Caenorhabditis elegans: one gene and its partners. The main gene of each other region encodes a partner of the protein of the gene in region 3 in a complex. Each region holds a gene or a part of one and is shown on either strand. Other genes may lie near its edges. The genes, in order: eif-3.E, eif-3.G, eif-3.H and eif-3.C.

The links.
Region 1: eif-3.H (region 3) and eif-3.E share a complex: the UniProt entries of both Caenorhabditis elegans proteins name them as parts of the eukaryotic translation initiation factor 3 (eIF-3) complex.
Region 2: eif-3.H (region 3) and eif-3.G share a complex: the UniProt entries of both Caenorhabditis elegans proteins name them as parts of the eukaryotic translation initiation factor 3 (eIF-3) complex.
Region 4: eif-3.H (region 3) and eif-3.C share a complex: the UniProt entries of both Caenorhabditis elegans proteins name them as parts of the eukaryotic translation initiation factor 3 (eIF-3) complex.

The regions. Positions count from the first base shown.
Region 1 is NC_003279.8:10,638,432-10,645,704, forward strand, and holds eif-3.E (Eukaryotic translation initiation factor 3 subunit E), read right to left. Parts: upstream 3,851-7,273; 5' UTR 3,845-3,850; coding exon 3,755-3,844; intron 3,687-3,754; coding exon 3,411-3,686; intron 3,365-3,410; coding exon 2,888-3,364; intron 2,833-2,887; coding exon 2,377-2,832; 3' UTR 2,092-2,376; downstream 1-2,091. Other genes in the region: mrps-30 (Mitochondrial Ribosomal Protein, Small), read right to left, coding at 1-525; cdc-26 (Anaphase-promoting complex subunit CDC26), read right to left, coding at 956-1,023, 1,068-1,320, 1,488-1,546, 1,592-1,796; B0511.17 (DUF4283 domain-containing protein), read left to right, coding at 4,598-4,713, 5,148-5,274; tag-344 (Protein kinase domain-containing protein), read left to right, coding at 5,853-5,973, 6,019-6,123, 6,171-6,493, 6,541-6,851, 6,898-7,141. UniProt on the Caenorhabditis elegans protein: Component of the eukaryotic translation initiation factor 3 (eIF-3) complex, which is involved in protein synthesis of a specialized repertoire of mRNAs and, together with other initiation factors, stimulates binding of mRNA and methionyl-tRNAi to the 40S ribosome.
Region 2 is NC_003280.10:8,439,770-8,446,637, reverse strand, and holds eif-3.G (Eukaryotic translation initiation factor 3 subunit G), read right to left. Parts: upstream 3,872-6,868; 5' UTR 3,855-3,871; coding exon 3,838-3,854; intron 3,792-3,837; coding exon 3,739-3,791; intron 3,618-3,738; coding exon 3,538-3,617; intron 3,457-3,537; coding exon 3,074-3,456; intron 2,986-3,073; coding exon 2,730-2,985; 3' UTR 2,463-2,729; downstream 1-2,462. Other genes in the region: cut-3 (Cuticlin-3), read left to right, coding at 153-378, 501-1,113, 1,159-1,368; evl-20 (ADP-ribosylation factor-like protein 2), read right to left, coding at 1,533-1,667, 1,862-1,992, 2,043-2,331; lips-10 (LIPaSe related), read right to left, coding at 4,637-4,829, 5,028-5,317, 5,922-6,102. UniProt on the Caenorhabditis elegans protein: RNA-binding component of the eukaryotic translation initiation factor 3 (eIF-3) complex, which is involved in protein synthesis of a specialized repertoire of mRNAs and, together with other initiation factors, stimulates binding of mRNA and methionyl-tRNAi to the 40S ribosome.
Region 3 is NC_003279.8:4,440,827-4,448,501, reverse strand, and holds eif-3.H (Eukaryotic translation initiation factor 3 subunit H), read right to left. Parts: upstream 3,784-7,675; 5' UTR 3,773-3,783; coding exon 3,656-3,772; intron 3,611-3,655; coding exon 3,488-3,610; intron 3,442-3,487; coding exon 3,246-3,441; intron 3,199-3,245; coding exon 3,099-3,198; intron 3,050-3,098; coding exon 2,755-3,049; intron 2,513-2,754; coding exon 2,246-2,512; 3' UTR 1,889-2,245; downstream 1-1,888. Other genes in the region: cps-6 (Endonuclease G, mitochondrial), read left to right, coding at 48-167, 214-390, 900-1,022, 1,079-1,233, 1,489-1,840; C41D11.3 (Cysteine/serine-rich nuclear protein N-terminal domain-containing protein), read left to right, coding at 4,160-4,216, 4,346-4,435, 4,485-4,958, 5,651-5,897, 6,575-6,690, 6,740-6,833. UniProt on the Caenorhabditis elegans protein: Component of the eukaryotic translation initiation factor 3 (eIF-3) complex, which is involved in protein synthesis of a specialized repertoire of mRNAs and, together with other initiation factors, stimulates binding of mRNA and methionyl-tRNAi to the 40S ribosome.
Region 4 is NC_003279.8:9,973,825-9,982,561, forward strand, and holds eif-3.C (Eukaryotic translation initiation factor 3 subunit C), read right to left. Parts: upstream 5,839-8,737; 5' UTR 5,837-5,838; coding exon 5,736-5,836; intron 5,688-5,735; coding exon 5,454-5,687; intron 5,373-5,453; coding exon 4,487-5,372; intron 4,441-4,486; coding exon 3,323-4,440; intron 3,272-3,322; coding exon 2,914-3,271; 3' UTR 2,602-2,913; downstream 1-2,601. Other genes in the region: T23D8.3 (Protein LTV1 homolog), read right to left, coding at 243-689, 738-854, 1,508-1,948, 2,280-2,462; Beta-catenin homolog sys-1, read right to left, coding at 6,670-6,752, 6,805-7,309, 7,361-7,687, 7,919-8,144, 8,201-8,736. UniProt on the Caenorhabditis elegans protein: Component of the eukaryotic translation initiation factor 3 (eIF-3) complex, which is involved in protein synthesis of a specialized repertoire of mRNAs and, together with other initiation factors, stimulates binding of mRNA and methionyl-tRNAi to the 40S ribosome.

The DNA of each region.
Region 1 (7,273 bases), 6.2 Mb from region 3:
TAATCCATGATAAAAATCATCAAGTGACTCATTTTCTACTCTGGTCTTTGTAAGGTATTTATAATAATCCAAAGTATCAAAATGTGCCGGTGTCGGTGGAATTCCCCAAGCTTTGCGTGTTGCCATCAACGTTGGATGCCAATCTCTACGCCATGTCTTTTCTGCGCGGGTCCACGGTCGCTCGTACGGTGAGACGAAATCAATTTTCTCTTTAATTGTTGGCATTGAATGGACCATTTCTGCAGTCTTGTAGTAGTCGAAAACGCGAACTCCTGCTCCAGATGCATCGCCAGCGTTCACAAATTCCTCTTGGAGCATATGCTTTGGCTCGTGGTGCTGATGTGGCTTTCGATAGTATGGCGGACGATATACAGTTGAAGCGTTCGCTGATTTGGCTGGAACATTTTCTGATTTTGGGGTGGTAACTTCGATTTCTTGTGATGATTGTGGTAGATCTGCTCCTGCAGTTGTTGCCTTTCCACGGCAGACTGTTCTGATCATCAGACTTCGTTTTAACCCGTGCATCTTGCAATTTCTGAAACAGGGCTGGTGAAGAATTAATGAAATATTGGAATTTCAAAAAACAAAGAAAGATAGAAAAATCACAGACTATGACAGTAAATGTAGCATTTCAGAAATATTTGTTTCAAATATTGTACAAATTTATTTAGTTCGAAAAAAGAAGAAAGCACGCTGAGGAAGTTGGAATTGAAAGGGAGATCAGTAGCAGGGCGTGTAAAACTGCGAATTTCAGTATAACAATCCAAGTTTTTAAAAAATTAAAAATTGATAAATATAGAAATGTATAAAACGGTTCACTTTTAATGAAAAGCTTGAGAAGACCTCTAAAAGTTTTTCTACGTTTCTAAATCAATTTTAGATCAAAAAGTGAATTATTATATTGAAATAAGCGGGTTTTGCACGTTTGCCTAAACACAACCCTGACCAGTAGTTGTTAGTGTCTGTGAGATCGTGTATTTGAAGAAGGTCCTCCAGAAGTTGAAGTAGGATTGCCGGGAGTAGCTGAAAATAAAATATTGACAATATTCCTCCAACAACTCATTGACCACCATAGAGATGAGCATTAGGAGATTCGGGAGAGTCAGAGGGTGTTGGAGATTCGTCATTGATTCCTTGCTGTGGTGTATCATAAGCGTTGAAGAGGAGTGGCGAATCATTGTCACCAGAACGAGAAGCTCGTGGACGTCGACCTACACGAGGTGGCATAACTCTCAACATTTCAGCTGATGAGACAGGGTTGACTGGCGTCGAAAGTGTTAGAGTTGGAGCAGCGACAGGAGTTCGAGCAGATGTTAAAGTCTGGAAATACGGAGAATAGCCATAAGATAAATATGAAAAAGTGAATAGAAATAAGTGTTCGAAACACCAACAACACAAAATTATGTCACCTGCACTTCAGTGAATGACATTTCACATCGATTCTAAAAGGTAATGTTTAAAACATTTAATTTAAAAAAAAAAATTACCGGTGCAATGGAAGTACGCGTGCACTCTCCCGTACTTGGTCCTGGAACGTCTCTGTTCTCTGAAAAAGCTAGGTTAGGAAAAATTAAATAAATCATCATCTCACTTCTATCCGCCGATCTGAGATTTCTCCTAGTTATGCCACGTGGAGGCTCACTCTGATCCATCGGCTCCATTTCGTCAATATCCATCATTTCGCATTTTGGCACGATCACAGCTGGAAGTACCCTCTTGTTCAGTTGATCTGTCAGCCATTGGATATCGTCCTCACACAATTCTAATTGTGTTAATGGACGCCGTAACATTGACATACTGAAAAAGAGTGAGATAAATTATTTAATTTCATAAAAACTGTGAATTGGCGAAAATGTGTATTTTTGGAGATTTAATTTTTAAACGGCAAAATCGAACCTATGGCTTAAATATTTCTGTAATTAGCGAAAAAGTAAGGCAAATTCAACAGAAATGACAAAATATACAGATGGAAGTGTTTTTCCTCACAAAAAATAATTTCAAACAATTTCTCGGCAACGGCAATAAATATATATTGAAAGGTTTCATAAACCTAGATTCTAACAATAATCAAACCATGATAAAAGAGAAAATATATTATTTTAACCAATTAGAACCGAACCTCCAGCCCCTGCACTAACGAAAGAAGGGTCAGAGACAACAAAAAGAAACAACAGGGATATAAGGAAAGTTTAGAAAAGACAGAATTCGAGTAGTCCTCGTAAAAAACCGAGGAGCTGAACAAATAAGAAAGAAAAATAATACTGAAAACTGAGAGATGACAGTCTTAATCTCCGTGTTTGCCACATCTCAATTTTCAGAACAGCATCAGATGAAGAAAAAGGAAAAAACATTCAAAACCGGAAGAACTTGTAAAGCCTAAGTCGCCTTGACTTTGTCTTGACGACCTTTTTCCAATTGAAGGGCGATTTGTTGAGCGCGGAGGGTCAATCTCTTCGTGTTTTCCATGACTTGCTCGTGGATGCTGACGGATTTGACACCCATCACCACTTGTCCCAACTTGCTGTCAATTTTAGCTCCTTCGATACGATACGTTCTGATCAAGTCAACAATCCAGCGTTCAGCTTCCTCTTGGCTCATATTCAATCGTCGTGCTAGCATTTCTATGGTAATGCACTGATGAATGCGGCAGAACATCTCGAAAATGAGAAGGCGTGCAGACTCGCGGAAATCTCCAAGGACAGCAGTCAGGAAGAAATCATTGGAGAGAACCTCTTCGCACTTTTGAAGCATCTCTTGAGCCTCGTCGAAATCATATTTGATGTAGAGACAGGTGAGGAAATCAGTGACGGGATCCTTGTAACTATGGCGTTCCTGTAGAAAAACAAATAATTAATCATATTTTCATATAGAAAATAGTTAAACTCACGATGTCAATGACCTTCACCAAATCTTTCAAGCTGTTCTTCTGGCGGCTTTTGCTGGTAACAACGGCAACAGCCAGATAGCGGAGCAAATGTGGCGCCAAAACTTGGATTGCATTCAAATAAGGTTGCTGGTTCAAGAACATTTCGATAATCTCATCACGCCCTTTTGGATAATTGTAGTAGACGAAAAGTGCCCAGTGCATAAGCCACGCACGTTGCGTAACAAGTTCCCATTCCGTGTCGAATGGATTAGCATCGATGTAAGCACGAAGTTTCAGCAAATCGTCACGAGCATGTTCCCATTCTTGGAGCAGAATTTCACTGGCCAACTTTCCGTAAAGAGCGTTCAAATAGTTTGGATCCGCTTGATTGACAAGGTTGCGGTAGTAGTAAAGGCACACGGATGCGACGGTGTAATTTCCGCATTCGTACATGAACTTGCTGTACTTGAAGAGGGTATCGACCATGTCTACTGTGAACTGCAAGAATTAAGATTATTTTCGAAACTGCAAAGCAAAAACGTACATTGTGGTTTTGAGTGAGATGCTCCAAAATACGGACATTTCCATCTCTTTCTCTGTTGTTATCCATCATTTCCTTGACTTCCGGTATTTCCAAAATGGCAACAACGGAGTCCACCTTGCTTTTCAGCTCATCTCTCTCCTTGATAATTTGCTTCTTCTTAGCCTCAATTGCAGCCGGAATAGGTTTTCCATTGTAGGTCTCTATAACACTATCAATCATATTGGTCTTGGTCAAAAGCTGGCGGTGCATTTCGGTCAGGGATTTCTCATCGTAAATCTGCAATTATCATTGATATAAATAAATTCAGCTATTTCAGAATCAACAATTTATTGTTTAAATCTTACTCCTCGTGGTTCGATGAACTCCAAGAGCGGAATGATCAAATGAAGATCGAGAAAAGGCGCCATGCGCTGAGTCAGGTCGAATGTCGACATTTTTACCTGTAAAATAAGCGTATTAGTATAGTAATATGTTCTAATAAAACTCCAATCAATTTTCTTAACGGAAAACATAAATAAAACAAAAACAATGAAATTGCAGAAAGAAAATCGAGAAATTAGGAGAAATTCGCCGGGAAAGGAGGAAATGATAAACAACGCGCGCTATGGAATATCGGAGTGTCGTTGCTACTGCCTGCCAACACGAGCCACCAGCGAAATGAGAACTGCGAGAAGTAGAACTACGAGAAGAATAACCGAAAACTGCAATTTGCGACATTTGAAAAATATTTCGGAGTTTTTTGGTTCTAAAATTTCAGTTAAAAGTTTTTTAATTTAAAATATTCAAATTGAGAAATTACGAACGAATCATAATGTTCCTGGGATTAGGAAGAGTTACAAGATATTAAGACCCGAGCCCGTATCGAGACCCACCCCGAAAAACATTGTGTGGCTTTAAAGCAATGCTTAAATATTGTAATTGTGAAATGTCAGTTTAAAATCACATATTAATTTTTCGAGTGGGTCCCGCAACGATCTCAATAATAGTGTGCCAAATTTTACCGATGTGTCAGAGACACAAGTTTTATGAAATTTCAAATTTTGAAATGCACAGAAAAGCGAACAGTAAAATTTAGAATGCTTTATTATTAATTTTTGGGAACAGACGAGACCGTAAATTCATGTGGTGTCAGGTTGCCCCATTTCGGTTTGATCAACATTAAATTCGGGTATTTGATGTCAGGAGGAATGCCGAATCTACGAAGAATACGATTCAATTCATATGGACCTCAAAACTATGAAGGAGTAATGCATCGAATTATTCACAGACCGTGGAATGGAAAGCGAAGACCAAAAGTGTTCAAGTGAGAATATAAATTATTTGTCGTAGAGCTGGCGAGTGGGCTACATGAAGAGCCCTGATTCTTGAGGGTAGTGTGCCACCCAGTTGAAACAAAACCTGACTATATAGTTTGACTTGTGGGTCTTGGTTACACATATTGTTTCTAAAGATCTTGACATACCGTATTTCCTCTATTAGTTCAACAGACTACTTTACTTTGAAAGGTTATATCTCGGTTCATTTCAAAGATATCATAAAACTATTAACTACAAAACGATATAAAAAGAACTACCAAATATTTCATCAGTTAATTATTTTTGAAAACAACCGAGATATAAGCTCTCAACCGTGAACGATGGGGTGCCATACTAATTGAAGAAATTCTTGCTACCTATCTACTGTAGAGATTAAAGGAAAAAAGCTAAATTATTTTATTTGAAAAATAATAACATTCAGATACAAAATAGACGAATTGGATTGTACACTTGGATGGGATATTGAGAGCGACGATGGACAAATTGCAACCGTCAATTTTATCGAAGAATGCCTTGATTTTGTTGTATGGAAAAACGATAACTATTAATTCAATTTAAGCCAGTTGCTGTTATGTCAGAATACACTGAAATTGACCAAGATATCAAAATAAAAAAGGCAAACAATTTTTAGATCTCAATTTTCAAATAACCGCTAAAATTTGTTCAAAACTGTTTTGGTAGATTTCCAGCTGCCAAATCTTAACTTTTTGGGTGCAAACAGTTTTTTTTTCAAGTTGGAATGTTATATTTTGATATTTGGGTCTTTTCGAATTTTTAAAAATGTCCCCCACTAGCACTACTCCATTTTACCCTCTGTTTTATAAATGTATATGTTATTCAATTACTCTCAAATTATCATATTATTTATATTTTCATTCTAATCCATGCTTTTTCAAAGACTTCATTTTAAAGAAACCTATAATATTATCGAATCCAGATTATAGGAATTAGGCATGTTATGAGGTGTGTAACAGGCGCCAGAAAGCAAATAGTTAGTAGCGAACATTTTTATTTCCCGATAAAATGTTAATTAAACATTTTCAACAAAGAAAATTTACGGAGAAATCAAGGAAAAATCGAAAAAAAAGTGACCTTTCGTGAAACGTGAAAATGTCTTGATGAACTGATGAATCGAGAAGAAAAATCTATTAATCAATATTCATCGAACCAAAATCGACCAATTTCGCAGTATTTTGAATTCATATTTCTCTGGCAAATTGTTGAAATGGCAACGGAAAACAATACAGGTAAGAATTTTATGCAGATTTTCAGAGAAAATAACTAATTTTCAGATGTTTCTGAGAACCAAGAAGAACCTGATGAACTGAGTCCAAAAACGAAAGCTTTTGCTCCAACACTCGAGAAGGTCTGGAAGCTCAAATTTGAGAAAGTTCTCGGTAATCATTTGGAAATTAATTCCAATTTATAATTCATTAATTTACAGGTAGTGGCTCCTATTCCCGTGTGGCACGCGCAACTTTCGGAGAGAAAAAGCTCGAAGTTGCAGCGAAAATCATCAACATTACGCCAACTCGTGAAAAAGAGGACTACATCAAAAAGTTTTTGCCACGTGAAAAAGAGATTGTCAAGCTCTTGAAACACGATAATATTTGTCGTTTGTACGAGATGATTTCATTTCAAGATCACATCATCTTCGTCAATGAGTACTGTGCTGGAGGAGATTTGCTCCGTAAAATGAAGGATATCGTGGCAATGAAAGAGGAAGATGCAAAGTTCACATTTCGTCAACTTATTGCAGCACTTACTGTAAGTTTTATATCAGAAAACTGTTTTTCTTAAATTTATAAATTCAGCATCTGCAATCCTATAACATTGTGCATCGGGATCTCAAATGCGAAAATATCTTTATGGATAAACATGGAAATGTGAAGCTCGGCGACTTCGGATTCTCGAGAATTCTGAAACCGGGTGAAAAATCTGGAACATTCTGTGGATCGCGAGCATATGTGGCTCCAGAAATTTTTCGTGGCAGAGAATATTCTGGAAATGCAGTTGACGTATGGAGTACTGGGGTCATTCTCTACATAATGCTGGCTGGATCAATGCCATTTGATGATCGTGACCCAAGGAAAATGATCGAGAGACAGTTGGCACATAAAATTAAGTAGTTTTTTTTTAAAAGACAACTCAAGTTAAATTTCTCATTTCAGATTCCCGAAAAGTTGCACATCATCGGTCTTTTCGAAGGCTCTGGTCCTTGAGATTCTCCAGCCACATGCACCGAACCGTCCGACCTACAAAGCAATTTGTGAATCTGAATGGCTCCGTACTCAACCGTACTACATGAAACCCAATGAGCCACCAAAAGTATTGGCAACTCGAATTGTGTCACCTGCAACTCCGATTGTTCCTGTCTCAGGAAAACCGAAAGAAGTCAAGAGACAGCAAGGATGAACGGCATGTGAACTTATTGTGACAGTGAATAAAGCATTTTAGTAGATTTATTCTTTTAAAACAAGATTGTAGTTTGTCTGTCATAAAGCGATTTCATGCCTTTGCAGTGTATCAAGAAAAGTACACAACCTC
Region 2 (6,868 bases), on a different chromosome or scaffold from region 3:
GATTAAACTTTATAAAGTGTGCCGAAGTCATTTTTTACTACTCTAAAAGTTTTCTTCATCATTTTTATTATCTCAACTTTATTGTCTTCAGGAAAAGTTTGCAAAAAACCTGAATTTTTATATACTATTCTCCCACAAAATCATGTTTTCAGTAAACTTCAACACACGTAATGCCTTCGAGGGACACGTCTACGTTAAGGGACTTTTCGATCAACAAGAATGTAGAAATGACGAAGGAGGTCGTCAAGTCGCTGGAATCGAACTTCCATTCGATACTTGCAACGTTGCTCGTACCAGATCTCTGAATCCAAAGGGAGTCTTCGTTACCACAACTGTCGTCGTCTCTTTCCATCCCCAATTTGTCACCAAGGTTGATCGGTAAGACTATGAAACTTCTGTAATTTTTAAGGAATGCTTCTTGAAGGTTTAGGATACCGAAATTATAAAGCTTGATATCAACTAGAAGCTTCTCGTTAAAAAAATGCAAATTGAATTTCCAGTGCCTACCGTGTTCAATGCTTCTACATGGAAGCCGACAAGACAGTCTCTACCCAAATTGAAGTCTCTGATCTTACCACCGCTTTCCAAACCCAGGTTGTTCCAATGCCAATCTGTAAATACGAGATTCTTAACGGAGGACCAACTGGAGAACCAGTTCAATTCGCAACTATTGGACAACAAGTCTATCACAAATGGACCTGTGATTCTGAAACCGTTGATACTTTCTGCGCTGTCGTTCACTCTTGCACTGTTGATGATGGAAATGGTGATACCGTGCAAATTTTGGATGAGAACGGTTGTGCTCTTGATAAGTTCTTGCTCAACAATTTGGAATATCCAACTGATTTGATGGCTGGACAAGAGGCTCACGTCTACAAATACGCTGATCGTTCTCAACTTTTCTATCAATGCCAGATTTCCATTACTGTTAAGGAACCAAATGAGGAGTGTGCTCGCCCAACGTGCTCTGAGCCACAAGGATTTGGAGCAGTTAAGCAAGCTAACCAAACTGCTCAGTTCTTCAGAGTTTTGAAGAAGAGATCCGCTCCAGTAATGGAGAATATTCTTGATGTCCGTGCTGAGCTCACAACTTTGGAAGTTTTGGAAGGAAATGTAAGTTGTCAAAATGGTGTTCATTTGCTCATTCATTGTTTTCAGCTCCCATCTTCTCTCACACAAGCTCAAGCTCTCGTAGCTTCGAGAGAAATCGGAGAAGATTCATTCCGACAAGAATTGTGTATCAGCTCTTTCCATATCTCCGTTGTCACTGTCTTCCTTGGTCTTACCGTTTTCGTGGCTATTTTCATCACTTATATGATCGTATCCCGTATGATGGTGCCATCCGACAAGATGCAATCAGCTTGTTAAATCTCCAACCATGTCAACCGAAATCTCGGTGTGCAATTTTCTTATATAATTTATTGAAGCCCTTATTATTTTGTTTTTCAATGAAAAATAAATTAAAATCTATAATTTTTATATATTTACAAGCAGTGTGAAATGAGATCAAAGCAGTTTGATTGATAACAATTTTAATCAAGTATGAATAATCGACTTCCAACATCATCGCATAACCATGTCATTGCTTGGACCAGTCGATCACCAGAAAGTGCACAGCAACTAAAGATCTTCCAGTGATGGGATTTGATGGAATGGAGATCGAGTACCTAGAAAATTCTTAATAGGTTGAGTAGTTTCAAGGTTCCTATGTTTCCGTGCCTCTTTAAAGATTTTCTTCATTTTCAAAATGTATGTTACGAGAGTAACATGTGAATAATGAATCTAATATAAATATCTACATGTTAAGGCTTACAAGAAAGCATTTCTTTTCGGAAGTATATACTGAAGACATCTGAATTACCTGTGCTATTGAATTCACATCAATGGCCCCTGGCAGATCACTTTTGTTGGCAAGAACTAGAAGAGAAGCACCGGCTAATCGTTCTTCTCCGAGCAATTTTTTGAGTTCTTCGGAGCATTGTAGAAGACGCTCTGAAAAAAGTTTTTATAAATTTGAATGTATCCTAAATATTTGTTTCTACCTCTATCTGACGAATCTACCACCCAAATTAAAGCATCTGTGGATTCGAAATAATTCTTCCAATAAGATCTTAGACTTTTCTGTCCGCCAACATCCCATAAGTTTAGTTGAAAATCTTTGAAATGCACGGTTTTGATATCAAATCCTAATGTTGGTTCAATTGTATCAGTCGGCTCGTCGAGGAATTTTTTCATTAAAGTAGTCTTTCCAGCGTTGTCTAATCCAAGAATTAATATTCTCATCTCGCGTTCCCGAGCACGTTGCTTACGGAGAATCTTCAAGAAGCCCATCTGGAATTTTTGAGTTATAAAATGTTCTATTGCGTTTGAAAATTTTTAGCCATCAGATTTTTATTCAAACTATGATATTTTACATTGGACAGAAACCCAACTCGATTGGAAAAATAGAACGAAAAAATAACCAGGAAGAGATAGATTTATCATTGAAGAAAGAAAAGGAAATACCAACAATTTTCATAGCTAGAACTGCCTTCGTGAAAATAAACTTCACTTGCCAACTCTGATAACCATAGAAAGTAAAAATTATGATTTCAATAGGAAAGAACAACAAACATCGAATTGGTCTACAGTAATTTTCAGTTTAGACAGACACTAGCTACGAAATTATGAAGAACCAAACAGCGGGAAAACATCCAAGTACGCATAACATAAATAAATCAGAAAACGGATTAGTTGCTCGGACGTGTCCATTCGACTTTGAGAACCATATGGTACATTCGGATATCATTGAGTTCTGCAATTGCACGGGCGGCGTCATCTCTTGATTCAAATGTAACGAAGGCGAATCCTTTCGGGAGACCAGTGACTTTGTCACGGGCAATGAAGATTCGGATGACTCTTCCAATCTTTCCGAACAAATCACGAAGTTCGTCTTCGTTCATCTCTTGCGGAAGATTGGTGACACGGCATGTATTCTCATCGGATCTGAAAGTATGTTTTAAAAATAGTTCATAAATTATTCAATCATCAAGATTTTTTGGGCAACTTAGATTACAGTATTTTGAATGCTTACCGATTTCTATCGATTTGTCTTCCATCAGGACGCATTCCCATTGCCATTCTATCCTTTTCAGTATCCTTGTCAGCATCAGCTTCCTCGTCCAATTGGTACATGACCTTGTAAGGACAATGAGTACTCCAATGGTCGTTTCCTTTGCAATGACGGCAATGCTCACGGCTTGTAGTTTTAGCAGTCTGTTTGTCTTCTTGAACGTCAAGAATCTGCTCTCCTGCGCGATTTCTTGTGAATTGCATATCGACTTCTTCAGCCACGTAAGTTGTGGCAACTTGGGGTCCTGCTGGCTCTCCCTTACAACTTCCGAATTTCACCCATTTTTTGCGATCAGCGACGACTTTTGGTACACGTTTGTTGATAACTTTGAACTGTGTCACAACCTGAAATTTGGAATTGAAAGAATTCTAGAGCATAACTCGAGAATTCTGTAAGGCGAATTTTTTGGCCATCGGATAACAAACCTTCCATCTTACTCCATCAACCTCAGTGAAAGCTGTTTCGGTACGTGTTCCATCAGCTCCTTCCTGGATGTGTGGGGCGTCTGCAAAAGCGTTCATCAGTTCATACAGAAATGACTCGTTTTGTTAGGCGGTTGCACTCCAAATGCGAAAACCGTGAAAGTTCACGTAAATATTCTTGAAGACGAGAAATGAAAAACTTACTGTCTTGCTCAACGGCCTCAGCCCAGCTTACAACTTCTGGAGCGGGAGCCATTCTGAAACTTTCTTTACGTAAATAATTATTCGAGGGTGAAAACTCACGCGTTAATGCCAGTCATAGCTGTAACTTTACTACCTGAAAAACTATTGATTATGTTTTTAGCAATATAAAATAAGAAAAAATTTCAAATAAATGGTTTAACAAACTTCAGAATTAAAAAGAAACAGCTCTTCAAAACATGTAGATTTTAAAGTATTTGATTTTTTTTTCCAGAATAAGCGAATATTCAACTAGATTCATAGTTTTTAGCAAATATCTATAAAAACAAACTATAAATATGTAAAAAAAATATTCTACAACAAAAACACGGCTGGAAATCTTTTAAAAATGTAGAAATATCCCGAAAATCGAAAATTTGGGAAACAACGACGCATTGGGAAATCTGTGCATTTGCGCGTGGGATCATGTGTTTGCAGAATTGCGCACCGTATTGCCCAAAAGCCAAATGGCGCCGCCGCTCCGGTTTTCACAGATTATTCAGTCTCATCGGAAGAGATTTCTGAAGAAAATAATAAATATCTTCGTTTTCGGAGAAAATCACAACATTGTATCATGTGTCTAGATTGATCTGCGAAATATAGCAGTTTCCTATCTCTATTCTTATGAGAATTCTTACAAGTCGCCTGATGGACTTGATCACTTGGACGAATTTAACATTCTGATCATTTTCGTTCAAAATACCAATTTAATCAACGATTGTACTGATTTATTAAACTTTTGAACAATATACACACAAAGTTTTGAATGAAAGCAACGAGTTCGAATCAATATAAACAAGGAAATTAAAGAGATCACAAGTGAAATTTGATGTCAATTAGTATTTTTGGTGAGATTTTGTTTTTATGAGGTTTGAAGAGCCCTCCATTGATCTTCTGTAGTTCCACCAATAACTGCTCCATGCATTAGTCTAGTTTTGACGATTGAAGTGGCTCCTTCTAATGGTGAGGACATCTCTCCACACGTATTTCTGAGTCCAATAACTTCGTCAGCTACGGAATAAATGGCGAACATGTTCTTTCCGTATTGGAACGGCCTGAAAAAAATGTTGACTTGTAAAATCATGAAATTAATGTTTATGTGTACAGAAAACAACGTAATTAAATTTAAGTATGCCCTAGTATACCCAAAAAATGAAAAGCCTTGCTGGCTTAGTGGCTAAAAGTTTTGCCTTTCACGCACACCTGCATGAGTTCAATTCCCTGTGCTGGGATACTTTTTTTGCGAAACTTACTGTGAGTTGATCTCTTGTAAGAACTTGGAACGGCAATCCAAACCATGTGTTAAACTACAGATTCCATTCACAAATGGCTGCTTGGCGCACATAATAGCTCCGTGATTTGCTCCACCAACAGAAACATAATTATGAATTAGATGATTAATTGGGCGTCCCAAATTGACTCCACTATCAACACAGTGTCCTCCAAGAATAGCTTTTCTGGTAATTGGAGATCCCATGGAGCAAGCAATGATGTTTACTGGTTTCTGAGTGTATTCATGAACAGCAAGAATGAGAGTGCGAACCTGAAATTTTAGAGTTACAGTTTGGATTGCAATATTCCTTTCGTTGATTGTAATCCCTATTTCACCTATAGATTCCCCTTCATCTTTTCTTTTAGAATATCCTTCTCAATCCGGATCCCTTCCGAAAGATGTCTACCCAACCAGTCATTATAAATCTGTGTTTTGTGTAGTTTGTAAACAATCCCTTCTTTTTTCGGGTCACGTCCTTTTTCCGTTTCAACGTCACTCCGGCCGTTATCAATCGGGTCTTGAAAGATCACCGATCATCCCTTTGTTCTCTATTTATCTATATTAACAGACGAGATCAAACCCAGAAGTTATAGAAATTCCCCCACAAGGCCAGTCTAACTGTGACCATCACAAACTACACATTCACTACACCAGTGGCGCCGCGTCAGAACGGAGACATGATATGGCGAGGTTTTCTCATTGTAAAGATTAGATTTAATGATGATGATGTTGGTGATGATGACAATAGTTACACTACACTTGATCTTAGCTTTTGCAAGTGTTCCTCTTGTAGTTTTCAGAGTCTAAATTAAATTCCCAAATCAAAATGATTTCTCATGTCTATTATATAATCCCATCATTTCTTTACACCTACCTTCAACACATAATCGCATTGCATTCCGTGTTGCAATGAGTCCATCAGCTTTCCTCTTGCATATGTTGTTGCGAATACAGTTCCCTTTGGTTGCCCATACGAATAGTATTTGTTCAATAAACTTTTCTTTGATAATCCAGCGTATCCAGCCAACCCGTGAATTACCACAATTGGAAGACCCCTAAAAGAAACACTTTTTATGAACGGGTGTGTGAAAATACTTGTTCCATCTTGTTTGCGTTTGTTTCGGATCAGGATACGATCAGAAATCGGGATTTGTGACGTCACACACAATGATACGAACACAAACCACCATACATATTTGTGTCGGAATCGTCTTGACCATCAAGTCATGACTGATTCAGTGTGAGAACAAAATGTAATTGGAGGCTACACTTATAGAGGTCAAGTGACACTGCACGGTTTTCTCGTCATCTATGTGTAGCAATCTTTCGATCACTACAACTGTTTTTTTTCGTGTTTTTTTCAAAAAATAAAATCATGACATCATTCTGATTTGAAAGGTGTGATCTGGTTGACATCAGATCATTGGTTATCTGAAGCCGGTCACTAGAACATTGTTCGTCTAGTTCTGATAATAGGTTGCAACAAAATGTCGTAGATCTATCTGTTTAATATTTTAGTTGACTTAGTTTTTGTGACAAATTATTTCAAGTTATTACACACCTAAATTCCAGTCTTGGAATATACGAAATTCAAAAAAGTCTTCTTTGAAAGAAATTGAAATATATATTTGTCGAATTGCAATTGTAAATTCATGAATTTTTAATTTTGAAAATGTCAACGGTAAATTCGCAAAATCATGAGACCTCGCTGTCAAGGTAAGTTCTACGTAGGTCTAACCACGATTGCAGTCACCAAGCTTCACAAAATTGTTCGTAAAATAAGATAATTGAAACATTAAACTCTACGTAAACAAAATGTAT
Region 3 (7,675 bases):
TCTATTTTTCTTTTCCAAATTTTCCAATTTTAATTTCCAGCCGAAATATGATCGGCAAGGTGGCTGGAACCGCGGCAATCGCTGGAATATCTTTCCTCGCTGGAAAATATTCGAATGACGATCTGCCAATCTTCAGGAATGTTCAATCAGCCACCAATGTTCCAATGGTTTAATAAAAATCTTCTAGAATCCTGAAAAATGCCGCTTTTGCAGAATCAAATCCAAGTTTCGGAGCCAATGACCGTAAAACCAGCATCTCTAAATGCTGATGCAATGGGACCATCTCGTTCGGCAGAGATCATGAAGCACGGATATCCCGGATTCACAAATGTTCGAACTTATGAGGATTTCGTGCTTTCCTACGATTATAAGACAAGAACTGCACACTGGGTTAGTAGAAAATTATGAGAAAATATATTTCAAAAATCTATACCGGACGCCAAGTTTTAGCGCCAAAAATACGGTACCCAGCAGGGCTACTGCAAAAATAAATCTTCCACCAAAAAAAAATTTGTTTCATTTTTGCTGAATCAGTGTTGTAATTTATTTTTTGGTTTTTTGTCCCGAAAAAACCAAAAATTTTTTTTTTCCAAAAACAAAGGCAGCTTTGGTCTCGACATGCCTTTTGTTTTTGTATAAAACAAATGGGTGTGCGCCTTTAAAAAGTACTGTCATTTCAAACTATCATAATTTTTATTTTTAGTATTTTATTTTAAAAAATATTTATTTATTTAAAAAAACACATTAATTTTAACAATCGTGAAAAAAAACTATAAAAATCAATGAATATTCCACAACAACGAAACTTTGAACCTACCGTACTATTTAAAGGTGCACACCTTTCTACATTAAAAAATTGTCGTGTCGAGACCGGTTTTAATAAAAAATTGAATTTCCAGGTCTGCGAACATCTTACACCAGAACGATTAAAACACGCAGAAGGTGTGGATCGGAAGCTTTGTGAATTCAAGCCAGATATCACTTTCCCGCAGAAATTCCTTTCTCAAAATACGGATTATAAGGTTAGTTCTTCGTAATTATTACATAAAAAATATTTCTGAACCATCCAATGTTTCAGTGCAGTGGATTCGATCGTGGACATCTCGCCGCCGCTGGAAATCATCGGAAGAGTCAGTTGGCGGTCGATCAAACTTTTTATTTGAGCAATATGAGCCCACAAGTTGGACGAGGATTCAATCGCGATAAGTGGAATGATTTGGAAATGCACTGCAGGTTGGTAAAATAAATAAAGTTTTTTGCCGGGAAAAAAACGCGAAAAATGTGAAATAATTTTTTTTCTCGTCGACGAAGTTTTTCGCAAAAACACGTAACTCTAAAGAATTTTGTTTTTTGAAAAATTAATACAATTTGAAACTTTTGGAAAATTTTTTTGAGAAAAAAAAACGAAAAATCTACAGCCCAGTCTGAAACCAGCTGGTACCAAGATTTTTCTTTACAATACTAAAAATAATTTTCTACAATTTCCAGAAGAGTCGCAAAAAAGATGATCAACTCCTACATAATCACCGGTCCCCTCTACCTTCCAAAACTTGAAGGAGATGGAAAAAAGTATATCAAGTATCAAGTTATCGGTGATAATAACGTTGCAGTGCCAACTCATTTCTTCAAAGTTGCTCTTTTCGAAGTGACACCCGGCAAATTCGAGCTGGAATCCTATATTTTGCCAAACGCAGTCATCGAGGATACTGTAGAAATTTCCAAGTTCCATGTTCCATTGGATGCTGTGGAGAGAAGTGCGGGTCTTGAGATTTTCGCTCGTTTGGACCCTAAGAGCATTGTGAAAGAGAACGGAGCAAAGAAGGGAGGATTACTTTGGTGATTGATTGGATTGTGATTCCGGTGAATTTTAGGTTTAGGTTGTTTTGTTTTTGTTTCACAAATAAATTTTTTGTTAACTTTTTTGATTTACTGATTGAAAAAACTTGAAAACTCAATTAAAAAGAACAATACCAATAGAAATTTTAAAATCTTAACTTACTATTAGTCAACAACAAAAATTCATCCGAAATAGGGGAAGGTGGAAAAGGATACCAGAAAGGAATTTCATACGGCAAAAAAATTTGGATGAAAAACAATATCCCTATATTGAAAGTGAGACATTATTTTATGTCACTAGTTTTATGTAATATGAAATTCCTTTCACCGAGAGAAAAATATTTTAGAAAAGAAAAAGTAAATTAAAGGGAACAGGGAGGAAACAAAAACACGAGTATATTTGGGAATCTTAACGAGTCGATGAGACAGAGCTCAAAGTTCTGTCTTTTGTTCCGGCGACTTTCTCCTCAGCAACAGCTTCAGCGATGAACATTTTCGTGATATTTTCGCTGGTCACAGTCTTCGAGAAGTCAGCGAGAGCGTTGGTGTCAAAACTGGCGAGAAGCTCATCCAAAAGTCCATTTCTTGTTTGGAGTTGTGGAGCCTTGATTCTCTTGATGTCATCCATTGGAATTGTTGGATCACCACGGGCCACACGTGATTCGTTCTCCTGTTGCTGAAATTGGAAAAATATAAATTTTTAATGATAGAGATTTTTTTTTCGAAAATCGTGAATGGCACCTTTATTCCACCGAAAATGTACCCCTCACATCCGGTTTTATAGTTAGTGGAGCCTCGATATGTTGGAAAATGGTTTTCAAAAAACAAGACTTTAGGTTTGAAAGCCGTTACACTTCGGAATATAAATTTTAGCGATACAATCAGGATATTTTTAATTTCAAAATTCGAAATTCTTACTCTTTTCTGCGTCAGACTGAACACCATATTATCATGTCTTTGCTTGTCAATAGTGTACTTCGTCAACGACTGAATTGACTTGTTCAGCTCATCAACATTAGCCATCATAGCTCGGACCGACTTTTCAAGCGACTTCTTGGATCCCAAATCGAAGTGTCTCGTGGAGTACTTGTCAGAAGAGCATGATTTAGCGAGTGAAAGCTCAGACATGAGAACATTGTTGAGATATGAGGATTTGATGATGATTGGCAACTCCTCGAACATGTTCTGGTATGTCAAACCAGCGGCTTTCACCCTGAAAAGATATGTCTTTGCAAATATATTTTTAAACTCAAAAACCATACAATTCTGGTCTCCAGTCATTCTTTGAAGCGAGATCAAGAGCAGCGGTGGAAAGACGCCAGGCTCTTAGAGAAAGCTGTCCTTGGCGAGTCTTGATTGGATCTGAAAGCAATTAGAATTAATTATTTATCCTCATTAATCTGTCTAACCATAAATAAGAACAACATTTTCTGGGCCCATAGCCTGGTAATCGAACATAGATTCTACGAGATCGTGTGAGAAACCGGCTCCGAATTGATGAGACTGATAGAATCCAACGATTTCGTAATCGATATTCATTGTACGGAATTTGCGGAGCATGTCAAGCATCTCGTGTTGCTTTTGCTCTTCGTATTGTTGAGCGGCCTATAATAGAAAATATATTGGAATCACTAGCATGAGCTAATTTTACATTAGCATCGTCATCCATAACTGGCTCGTTGCGAACTGTTGGGAAGCAATTGGTGATTTCCAAGCGAGAATCTTCAAGGAAAACAAGACCGGTGAGAACTCCGGCACAAGCGTCTCCAGATACCTGTAAATTACATGTTAAGCTTGAAATTAAATTAAAATAATATACCTCACTAATTCCTGCATGAAGTTCACTGTCCACGTGCTTCACAATTTTCATAACCACAAGCGAATCCAAAAGGATATGCTTGACGCTCGGAGCGGTAATTGTCACTGCTGTCGACATTTTTGATAACCCTGAAAGATGAGCATTTAGTTTTTCAAATTTTCTAAAGAACAATAAACAATAACATGCATCTCACAAGAGGAAAAATCAATAATCTAAGCATCACGAATTTTTCGAAAGAAAATTAAAAATATAAATTTCAGAAAATTGGCGAGAAAAACCTCAAAATAATCAATAAAATCTTGAAAATAGGAAACACTCCACGAAATTAATTCCTTCCGTTGTTGTGTGCAACTGCGCGTCAATTGTAGTGCATGCACACAATTGCACACCGTACCCGCGCGTGATCTTTTGATTTGAATTCAAATTTTTGTCGTTCTTTTGTTTTTGGGATTTACTTTTTAAAATGCTTTTTGAAACTTTTTAAGAGAAATTGTATATTTTCAGATGCAATCGAGTGCATCCAACGACCCTAATAAACCTACAAATAATGAAATAATAAAGGTAAGCGCATTTATGAAAAAAAAATCAATAAAACACAATTCTTAAATAAACTAGCTTTATTGGAATCCATTTGAAGATTTAATATTATAACCAAATGCATATTAAAAAATAATTGTAAATTTGTTTCAGACACCATTGGTTCCACCAAGTCCACGTGGAGGATTAAAACGAATGGCGGGAATGAGCCAATTGAAATCGACTTTTTCAATTTCTTTGGAGGTAAAACCCTCAAGTTTCCAGCATTTTTGTTTAATAATATTCATAATAGTCTCAGAGAACAATCCCACCACCATCATCGTCCTCATCCTTCCTATCCCATTCAACATCGATGGTTTCTGTAGCAGCGAGTCTCAAAAGAGCCGGTGTACCTAGTCTAACTCGAACAAAGACTAGTGCATTACCCATAAAAATGGAGAAAAAGCCAATGGTTCCATTGCGGATAGAACAGGACCACCAGACACCGATCCGAAAACTGGCTCCGGAGAGTATTCCAAGCCTGGAAGATCAAGTAACACCGCCAATGCGTCGATCTAGTAGTGGATCAATGCTGTTGAGACAGACGCCTGAAAGGATTCGAAGGCAAGAAGAAGATGTGGAAACACCTGGTTCTCCAGTTAAAAGATACCGAAGATCCGGGTCAATGCCACGATTAGAGGCCCAGTCCCTTGATGTTCCAATACGAATGGAAATTGGAAATAGCTTAACTCCTGTGTTAAAGAGGAAGAGAACATCTTCATTAACGGTAATATATTCAACTGAATCATATCAGAGCTGGGCGGCAAATTTTTTTTCGAAAAATTCGGCGAATTTCCGAAAATTTGATTTTTCGGCAAATGCCGATTCGCCGGAAATTTCAATTCCGGCAATCTGAAATGTTTTCCCGTTTTTCTAGATATTTTCATAGAATTTCCTTACTTTTCAAAATAGAAGTAGGAACATATTTTTTTATATTACGGGAACACAAAATACTGAGAACGCGTATTACACAACATATTTGACCCGCAAAATATCTCGTAGCGAAAACTACAGTAATTCATCAAATTACTCCTGTAGCGCTTGTGTCGATTTACGGGCTTGATTTTGGAAATATCTATCGATGAATAAATAATTTTAATTCATTTCGAGAATCGAGCCCTTAAATCGACCTACAGTAGTCATTTAGATAATTACTGTAGTTTTCGCTACGAGATATTTTGCGCGTCAAATATGTTGTGAAATACGCATCATCAGAATTTTGTGTTCCCGTAATAGGAGGCGTACAATTTCGCGTCTTTAACTTGAAATTCTGAAGTTTCCAATAAAAAGTGCAACAGCACAGTTTGCCGAAATGCCGGAAATTTCAATTCCGGCGATTTGCCGATTTGCCGGAAAAAATCGTTTGCCGCCCAATCATATAAAACTAGTTTCTGAAAATAACAAAAAATATTATTTCAGTGTCTCTTTTCATCCGACATGCCACCAATTTTAACTCCACAACGTTTACGTCCACGTGGCATTTCTGAGACCCGTACCATCGATGATGACGTGTTCGTTCCAAAATCACCTACGAAAAAGCCAATAACTTCGCCAATCAAAAAACGAGTTCGTCAAGATTCGGAAAATCGTTCGACAAGTCCCCTCAAAAAACGATATATCTCGTCGTTTTCGATTCGGCTCGAAGAGGAAAAGGAAATTGAAAAAGGTTTTTATGAAAGCCTGAAAAAAAATAAACATAAATATGTTTTAAAAATCCTGAATAATAGAAAATAGCCTCAATATACCTATAGAATTTTTTAGATTTTTCAAGAAAAAAAAATGAAAAGAGCTGAAATTTTTGCGTTTTCCGGCTATTTTTATTGTTCTTTTTTTCTTTATGTTTTCTTAACACACAATTTGTCAAATTTTCACAATTTTTTCCGAAAGAAACTCGATAATCTGGAATAAATTTCCTAAAACTCTGAAAAAAATTCGATATTTTACAATTTATTGAATTTTTTATGCGAAACAGAATATGAAAATCTGGCAAACGATGGTTTTTATTTTTAGAAAAAATATTAGACATGCATGTTTAAAAAAAATTGCAGAAAAAATATTCCGTTTTTTTTTAAATAATTAAGAAAAAAACGTTTCCCTGTCACATCTTTTAAAATATTTAAAATAAAATCCATACTTTGCAACTTCACAGAAATAACCAAAAAGTACCAAAATAATGCGAAGTGACAGCTAAATATTAACTTATTCATGCGAGAAACAATTATTTTCGGAAATTTGTTTTAAAATTGCATCACTATATTGAAAATAAGGTTTTCTTTTTTTCAAAATTTTCACAAAAAAATTTTAAATTTAAATATACATTCTCTATAACTCTTAAAATTTCAGCAGTACCAACTCCCACAATGTCAACCCCGATGCGGAAGTTCAAATCAACGATATTTAATCCAAGGGCTGTCACTGAACGAATCGCTCAAACTTATGGAACTGGAAGTCGTCAATTGGTAGAGTTTACTACAAAAATTCAAAAAATTGCAAAAAAAAAAATTTCAGTTAAAATCCACGTCATCGACTGTTCTTCCAGCTCCTCCGGCGTTAGTGGCCCGGTCAACGTCTGGTGAAACTTATTACAGTGCAACTGAAGGAGGTTTGAAATTTTTTAAATATTAAAATGCTAAAAATCTGAAATCTCGTCTTGAAAAATAATTTAAATAAAAACGGAATCGGGGGAAAATTTCAACAAAAAAGTGATTTTTCAAGTGCCAAATAATTTTTTTTTCGGTTTTTCAACAAAAAAAAAAACGAAACATTTTCGATTTTCCGGAAAGTCGAAAAAAAATCTGAAATTTAACTATGAAATATTATTTATAATCTAATTTTGATTATATTGATGAGAAAAAAAATATTAAATTCTTCTAAAAATTAGTAAAATGGCCAAAATATTTGAAGCTAATTTTTGAAAAATCGAAAAAACGAAAATTTCAGATTTTTCGATTTTCAAAAATTATCATTTAATGATAAAATATAGGAAAATCTGAAAATCACATATATTTGATTTGAAACAACTGAAAAGGTTTAAAAAAAAATTGTCTGAAAGTTGAAAATTGCCGTTAAAAAAATCAGAAATTTTCTTTATTTCGGCAATTTTCAAGTAAAAAAATTCTATAAAAGTTATTTACAAATAAAGCAAATTTCTATATTTTTTCACAAAATTTTAAAAGAAAATATTGGAGGGCGGCAATAGCCATTTGGCAAGTTTTTCGAAAAACTCGGCAAATCAGCAATTTTCCGGAAATTTTGATTTTCGGCAATTGGTCGATTCGCTATTTGCCGAACATCATTTTGCCAGAAGTTTTCAGAGGAATTTTTCATAAGACGGAAACATTGCGACTTTTTGAATTTTTTCCCATTTTTTCTAGATATGTTTTAATAGAATTTGCCTACTTTTCAATATAAATGTAGGAAAATTCATAGGATGGGTTAAATTTT
Region 4 (8,737 bases), 5.5 Mb from region 3:
AAAATTACCAACATTTTAATTTTCTTAAAATAAAAAAAGCGGCACGCTTGGTGCATGGCTGTCGTGTTTTTTTTGTTGTTTTTTCGGACCAATAAAACAAAAAAAGGGAGAGGGGAAAAATTCGATATTTTTTTGTTTTTTTTTGGCTCAAAAGGTTTTTTGGTGACTCCCATGGTTGTGAGTGTGAAAATATTTTCTTTTAGTTGTTTCATACTTTTTCAATATGAAATATGAAAAATTACCTTTCGTTTCTCCTCGGCGAACATAGTCTTGTTAGCCTTTTTCTCAACTCTTCTCAGCTTTCTGGCCTCTTTTACAGCTTTTTTCCGCAGACTTCTCTGTTCCGGAGTTTCATTTTTTGGTCGGAAAGTAGAAACAGTTGAAAAAACGCTTTCCTTATCATCATCATCCTCCATATCCTCATCATCATCTTCATCTTCTTCAGCAATATCCATCTCTTCAACAGCTTTATCGAATCGTTTCAATGCCTTTCTGGATAAACCACGTGGCTCCTTGATGAGTGTCGGATGATTGTAGATATTAGTGTATTGAGTAGCAAATGATTCACAATCCCATTTCATTTTCTTATTTGTACCCTCATCCACTTCCACAATCTCGTATTCTTCTTTGTCTTTGATGACTCCCTCTTCAATGAGACGCATTCGTTCACGTACATAATGCTTGGCGAGCTGTAAAATTAAATGATGAATGAAAATAATTCTTTTGAAAAGTACTACCTCTTCATCATACTCTGCATTTGAAGGTCCTTTGTCATTTATAAGTTTGTGAAGTCGTCCAGCGTTCGGTTCAAGTGCTCCTCCAACATCATAGTCGTCACCATCAAGCTCTCCGATCTGAAAATTAATTCATTTTTTAAAACTGGGTCAGATTAAATCTCAAAAATAATAAATAAAAGTAGAATGTTTTCTGGTAACACATAATTTTCTTGAAGTTTATTTTTCATAAAAATGAGTTTATTTAGAGGAAACCGAAAGATTGAAAAATTTTTTGAGAAAACTAAAAAATGTATGTTTCATTAAATCAAGTCTTGTTTATGTTGAAGATTATTTTATTCTAAAAAGAGGAAAACTTGCCAAAACTTAAAGAATTTTCCGAAAAAAAAACTAAAAAACGATAATTTTCGATTTTTTAATTTTTAAAAATTAAAAAATTTTCAATTTTCAATTTTCGATTTTACTGGAAATCTAAATTTTTTCGTTTTCTATGAAAAGCCGATAAGCGAAAAATTTGATTTTTTTAAAAGTTTTTTTTTGATTTTCCGGAAAACCAAAAAATCTAAGAACAATTTTTTAAAAAAAATCTAGTCAAAAAATCATTTTTTTTTAAATCAAGTCTTTCTTATGGTAAAGAGAAAAAATTAAAAACATATCCTTTCATTCTAAAGAGAGGAAAAATGGCGAAAATTTATGGCATTTTTCGAAAACTGTTCGATTTTTAAATAAGTTTAATTATCATATTTTTCAAGCCAATAATTCTGAAATAATACCTGATCGGTGTTGTATTCACGATCCATGAGTTCTTCAAAAGCATTATCAATAACTCTTTGATCAGCTCTTTCAACTCTAATCTCTCCAACAGCCTCTTCTCCAAATAACTCGTCATCATTATAATCATCATACATCTCATCGTCTTCATCGTCATCCTCTTCTTCTTCCGAATCTTCACCTCGTCTTGTACTTCTATAAACTGTAGTTCTTTCATCAAGAAGACCACCAGCAAGTGTGATAAAATTATCTTCAAGTTCTCCGGTGTTACGATCATCTGTCACCTCTTCCAACGCATTTGCAACATCTTCGTCAAAAAATTCCGGTTTCTTAAGAGCACCGACAAGTCCGAAAAGTGGTGGAGCTGGTGGGAATGCTGATGAACCACTCGTTTTGATGGTCGTTTTCTCGACTTCTTCATGAACATTTTCCAGCTTCATCGGCTGAAAATTTAAATGATTATTTTACCAATACAAGAAGATTGTTTTTCGATTATGTTCTAAAAGAGGTGATCGAAAAATTGTTTTTTTTTTGATTTTCCGTAATATGGAAAACTTTTTTTTAATCATCCATAAAATTCAATTTTATGAAATAATGTAAAAAATGCTGATTAAAAAAACATAGAAATTTTTTACTTAAAAGAAGTACAAAGACCAAAATTTTAAGCTATTTTTTGACATATCCTAAAATCTTTTGATTTCATTGAAAAATCGAAAAACAAACACTTTTTTTTAAGTTTCGGTATTTGATCAAATTGATTTTAAGATGACAAACCTCATTAACAGCTCGCATGTGCTGCAAATAATCATAATCATCGTCGTAGTAGACTCCATACTTTTGCTGTTCCTCCAAATGTTCTTGAGTTGGCTTGAATCGTTCACTTCTTTCCCTATTATCCGGAACCAATCGAAAACTTTGACTGGCTTTCTTATCAATGAATGCCTTCCTTTTACCCATTTTGAGGCGAAATTTATGTTTCCAGTAACCTGAAATATGAATTCTATGTTAATTTTTTGTTACTTTTATTGTTGGATCTGAGAAAATAACTGATTGGACAGAACCGGGGCTCATAAAAAATTACTTAAAATTGGACGAATCAAATTAAATATTTCATTAAAATAATATCCGGCAACCCAATATAAATAATTAGCAAAAACAAAACAGTATGGAAAGAGTATAACTTAAACACTACTAACCGGAAACGAAAAATGAGAGCTTTAAAGTTCAGATCTCACACTGAACAAGGAAAAGTGGGAAAGGGTGGGGGATTACCAAAAAAACTGATCAATTAAATAAAAGATTCAACAAGTATTGGCGCCTGCAAAAAGTTTTTGAGACTAATTGCAGGCGCCATGAAAGGCGTATTAGCGGGTTCCACGAATGGGAGAGACGATTGAAAAATGGATATTTAGAAGGCTCGTGGCTTTTGAGGATGACGACGTTGCTGACCACCTTGAGATCCCCAATTTCCTCGCTTTCCGTCTTGTCCTTGTCCTCCACGTCGTTCTCCTTGGTATCCACCAGATCCTTTCTGCTTATCTCCTTGCCGCTCGTTCCTTCCTGGAAACCACGATCCTGGACCTTGATAACCACCACGTCCAGTGCGCGGCTCCAGAATTTGTTCATTGTTTTCGGCAAGAGTTTGAAGTTTGTCAGACAAGTTGAGAGCAAGCATTTGAAGTCTGGAAGGTTCAACACGGTGCATGATGAGACAGTCGGTGGGCTCGTCAAGTGTAGCCGAAAGTTCCTCTTGGATGATCATTTTACTGAAAAAATAAAAAAAAATTATGTACTGTCTAGTAAAATATTACAAATACCTGATGATGCTATGAACATCTTTCTTTGAAAGTTCGAACAAATCCGCAAGCTTCTTGAGCGAAACAGTGGCATAAACTGTAGAGTATGTGAGCAAATAAGTTCTGAGAGATTCCTCTTGAATACGTCTCACAACCATTCCCTTAACAGTCTCAGCGTTATGGAAAAGATTCCAGACCTTCTGGTTCATCTTGTCATTGACGATATAGTCTTGACACTTTTTCCAATCTCCATTCAACATTGCTTTCGATGCGGCGACAACATGTTCACGGGTATTCTCTGGTGGTCCAGTGAGAGAAGCTTTCTCGCTTTGCTTCAATTGGTAATGGAAACTTCTGCTGAGCATACGACGACGCATTTCGAATTCGCAACTAGCCATGTGTGGAATTTCGAGAAGCATCGAACAGATCAGATAGACACACTCCATAAGTTCAACATTGATGTGCATATGATATGGAACTTGACGGGAACGATCAATCTTCTCTTGTTCAGCAGTCTTTTCGTGCTGACGAGTTCCAACAGCTTGAGCAAGCAACTCCTTGGCACGTTGGGTATTTTGAATTTCAGATAGTCCTTGATGAGCTTCGCGAATGAAACCGTGTCGGAAAGCGCAGAGACCGAGTTGGCAGATAGTTCTGTTGTAGAGGATTTGAGTGTCGACATCAGAATGATCAACGATAGCTTGCATGTGACTCATAAGAAGAAGATCTCTGGCGCGGTGCCACTTGTCATGAACAGCCAGATAGTAAACATGGCAGAGCATAGCACGTTGTCTCAATCGTTTCTCATCATCAAGTGTATAGATCTTATTACACAAGTAATCCATCAACTTTCCAGCATCCTCCTCATTTTGATCTTGATATTTGTAGTAGGCATGCTCGATGCGCATCATGTACACTTTGCAAACTTCGTGTTTATCGAAAATGCCAGAATCGTTACGAAGTTCAACGTACTTCTCGGCCTTTTCAATGAGTGAGCACATATCCTTCTCGGCCTTCAACTTCTCGATATAATCATTGGAATGACAATCGGCGTTTTGAAGAATTTTAGCCAACTCTCCGTCCAATCTTTGCACAGCAATCAGAATACTTCCTTGAATGCGATACTCTTGAGTGTCATCCTGCAAATATTAGGATTTTTATTAATTTTAGGAATGCAAGTATTACCTTCAGATTTTCATCTTCTTCAGCATATGTCACAGATAACTTTACACGATCAGTTCCGATGAGAAGATCGAGCAAGCTGTTGACGGTTTGCAGAGTGGTCATGAATGTTTCGTACTCCATGTGATCACTAATTTTAGCGTTCAATTCGAAAAGAGCCGAGATTATGCAGAAACTGATTTTAACGTTGATTCCTAGACCAAGTTCTTTCTCTTCCGATACCTCCAAAAGTTTTCGAAGATTAGCAACATGTTGATTACGATCTGTCGTTCGTTTTCCACGAGCCGACATAACCTCATTGAGTTTCTTAATCATAACGTCATGAGTAACTTCTTCCTTGGGATCAAAGTGAACAACAGACTTCTCACGATTAACTGGAGTCCAATCCGCATCATCGTCTTCCTCGACAGCTTCTTTGACTCTGATAACTCTCTTCTTCTTTTCTTTCTTGTCATCTTTGCTCTCCACGCGGAATTCTTTTTTCAAGAAATACCTACGAAGTTGCTCCATCTTAGTCACACTGTCTTCGTCATCAGAAGAATTGGATTCTGGTTCAGAAGACCAGTTAGAGGAGTCGTCATCGTCGCTGTCACTGTCACTATCGCTCACTGCAGCTTTCTCAGATGGTTTTCCAGGTGACTTTTCAGCCTTCGATTCAGAAACCTCTCCAAAATCATCGTCGTCTTCATCTTCTGGAGTTTCATATCCATCCTCGTCAGGATTAACGCGATAATCGGTAACAAGATCTTGCAGTTGTTGATCCTTGATGTATTTTTTCAGTTTTTGACGAAGAGGTGGAAGAGCTTTTGCGTTGTTCTTCGAAAGAGCAGATTTAGCATCTTTATCATCCCATAATTTATTTACGTAGTCTTCGATTTCCACAAGAGACCTGAAATATTTTATATCAACTACTAAGTTTTCATTAGCATTTTATTTTATGATGTGACTGTAAATTAAAAATATATCTCACCTTATGTAAAATCTTGGATTTGCGACATTCTGACGTTGAAAGACCGTCTTGGACTTATCATAAGCTTTGGCCAGAGAATCAAAACCTGTTAGAAGTCTGTTCAGATCTTTGTTGCTCTTTGCATCTCGATTTTGCTTGATAATTCCTTTCAGCTCATCGAATTTTTTGTCCTTTTGGGCACGAACAACACGCTTCTCATCTTCTTCAGGACCGGCCATGAAATCGAGATCATCGCTGAAAGATTAATCAATCTTTTGGAATTACTTTGGAGATTATAATTACCGAAATTTCGCGCTTTTGTTCACTTTTTGATCCTCTACCTCATCCTCGCTGGACGAAGTGTCGGAATCAGAGTCCTCCTTAGCATGGAAGAAGCGAGACATTGCTGAAACAAAATTGACATTATGAAATCCCAAAACAAGAAGCAAACAAGCAGTAGATACACAATTAGACAGAAATTCCAATATTATTTAAAATTTAAAATGAATAAAACGATTTTCCCTTTGAAAACAATTCAAAAAACAGCTAATGGGTCAATATTTAGCTGAAATAAATTTAAGTGGAAGTGGAACATAAGAAAATCGTTGCAAGACCTTACTGGCGCGTTTCGCGTGCACGGGAGATGCGTCAGCACTCGCCACTTGCGCCAGTGGGCATTTGCGCGGAGATTTAAATAATAATTTATTATTTAATCACAATTCCACAATTTCAGGTTAATTTTACAGAACGAGAATAGTCTCTAAATAACTTATATATGAACCGAGTATTCAGTAAATCAATCCAACATTTAAAAAGTTTTATAATTTTATTTTCTATTCAACGTAAGAACATCGAAGAAAGACGTATATAAGACAGGAATTTGATAGTTAAAATGCAAAGATAATCGCGAAAATGTTTTGTATTCAAAAATATTATGCTACAGACGTAAACAAAGAAACAACAAAAAGAAAGAGATAAACCGAGGGCAAAATGAGAAGAAATGTGCTATAAATTAGGAAAATCGGAACGTTTTGTTTGTTCTAAACTCGAATTCATATGAAATCGTCAAGAATGAGGAAATTTGGGACCGGTAGAAAATGAAGAAAAGAAGAGAGAACATATTTTAATCAATAATACGACTATGTACACGCTAAAACAGCTTCCAACTAGACGAATTAATGGCTTTGAACGGGGATTTTTGGGATGAAAGATGGAGTTGACAGATTTATCCATTAAATCAGAAATATTCTCGATTTGAAAAAATACCAGCAAGAAGGTCGTTTTCAGGGAAGCGACTCAGCAGAGAATTCGCGGCTTTAGCTGAAAAAATGCATTGTAATTTAATTTATGAACACATTTTCGAGACACATACCTATATCTGAATTTCTATGATTCGTCAGTCCTTCCAACATCGGCCTGTCAATCGTCCAAATATCCGCACGCGTCGGGCAGTGCTCCAAAATCTTGTCACATACAACAAGCACATTGTGAATAAACGTTGGTTTCACTTGATTTCCGTTCAGCAGATTTAATGGGCAATCAATTGAATACGAGTACTGTGCCACCTCTTTTTCAGCTCCACATTGCTCCATGAGCACAAGCAATAAACTTATGGTACGTTCAACAAGTTGCTGCTTTGTGGATTGAGTTCTTGTATTGTTCGGTTGACGAAAAACCCATGAATAGGCGGCACAAATGTGTCCTATTAAATTTTCCTTCCGATTTTCATCAATAACATTCAGAACACCGTCTTTTGGAACAAATGGTGTTCGGAGTAACAGTATAAAAGATCGGAGAATTGTACTTCGAAGTTCCAATAAACCAGGTGTATCCATTCCTTCACATGATAAACAACTCATCAGTTTTTTCAGAATATCCTGAAATAATTTAATTCATTTTTATATCGTTTTTCAAATTCCAAAACGTACAATTTCGATGAATTTGCAGACCTGCTGCTTTTCATTCGGTCCAGCCGTTTTCGTTTCTCCATTGGGCGTTGGAATCCACATCATCAGGAAATTGTTCAATGTACGCAGACAATTGCAAATAATTTCACAAACTCGATTTCTTTTCGGAGCATCGGTAAGTTCATCTAGTCGTGGATACTTTGAGATTATCGTGTGAAGTAGGAAAATTGCATTGGATCGTATAGCAATATCTTTTACGTGTTGTTTATGAGCCACTACGTTACTCAGAAATCCTGTTCCACTATAGATAACTTCATCATCCGGATGAATTTCGATGAGTCTCAGTAACTGAAAATTTCCGGTTTTAAACAGTTTATTTGAAGGGAGAGAAGTTTTTTTTTAATTTGAATAGACTAAAACTAGCCTGAAACGACCGAATTTAATAATGAAACTTCTTACAAAAGTGAAGTATCACTATGGAATTAGATAGGTTTGGGGCATCTAGTATAATTTTTTAAAGTAAAAGAACACATAAATAATTTTCTAATAGTCCAGTGATTTTCTAAACGTAAAACTTACGAATGGTAATATATTCTCCAATGGAGTCTTCGCCAAGGCTTTTGCATCAGAGACCTGAAGTAAGAGCTTACATCCAGCTCTTATCAAATCATTGTTTGGATACTGTACTACAGTAGTAATTGCTCCAACTCCATCAGACCGTACGAATCCATCAATTGCATCGGAATCATGAAGGAGAAGACCCAGAAGATCAAATGTTCGGATTATAACTTGGATAAGATGAGCTCTGGAAAATTAATATAACTTGTTAGTGATGGAGGAATTTTTCATTTTTAAACTTACAATTCTGGATTTTGAGGTAATGTTTCAGGATTTTGGCCTGCAATCAATCGATACGATCCGATCATTACAGCATTCAATTTTATAATTAATCCTGTTGGCGGAGGAGGTTGATCATGTGGATTATTGTTCCATATGAAGTAATCTTTCAATCGAGTATCCTTGCTAATAATAAATCGAAAAATGATGAAAATTGCTGGATTTATCATTCCCGGGTGTACTTGAGGATTAAAGTACTCGGAGAGAGTGCCAACGAGTTTTTCGAATTTCAAATGTTGAGCGAATTCTGTTCTCAATTTCTCGTTTTTCACTCCCATTATGATACAGTTGAAAATTTGAAACACCTGATTTGCGCAGTGTTTCATGTGAGGATCTTTTTGCCAATTTAACGAAATCAAATTGCAAATCAATTCTCGAAAATCTTGTGGACCATTCTCTCGAGGACAAAACATTTGAACAACTTGATGAATATATGGTGAAATAATGGGTAGAAATGTGAATCTTCGAAGAATATCCAACAGATTATACCAGAGTTGAGCC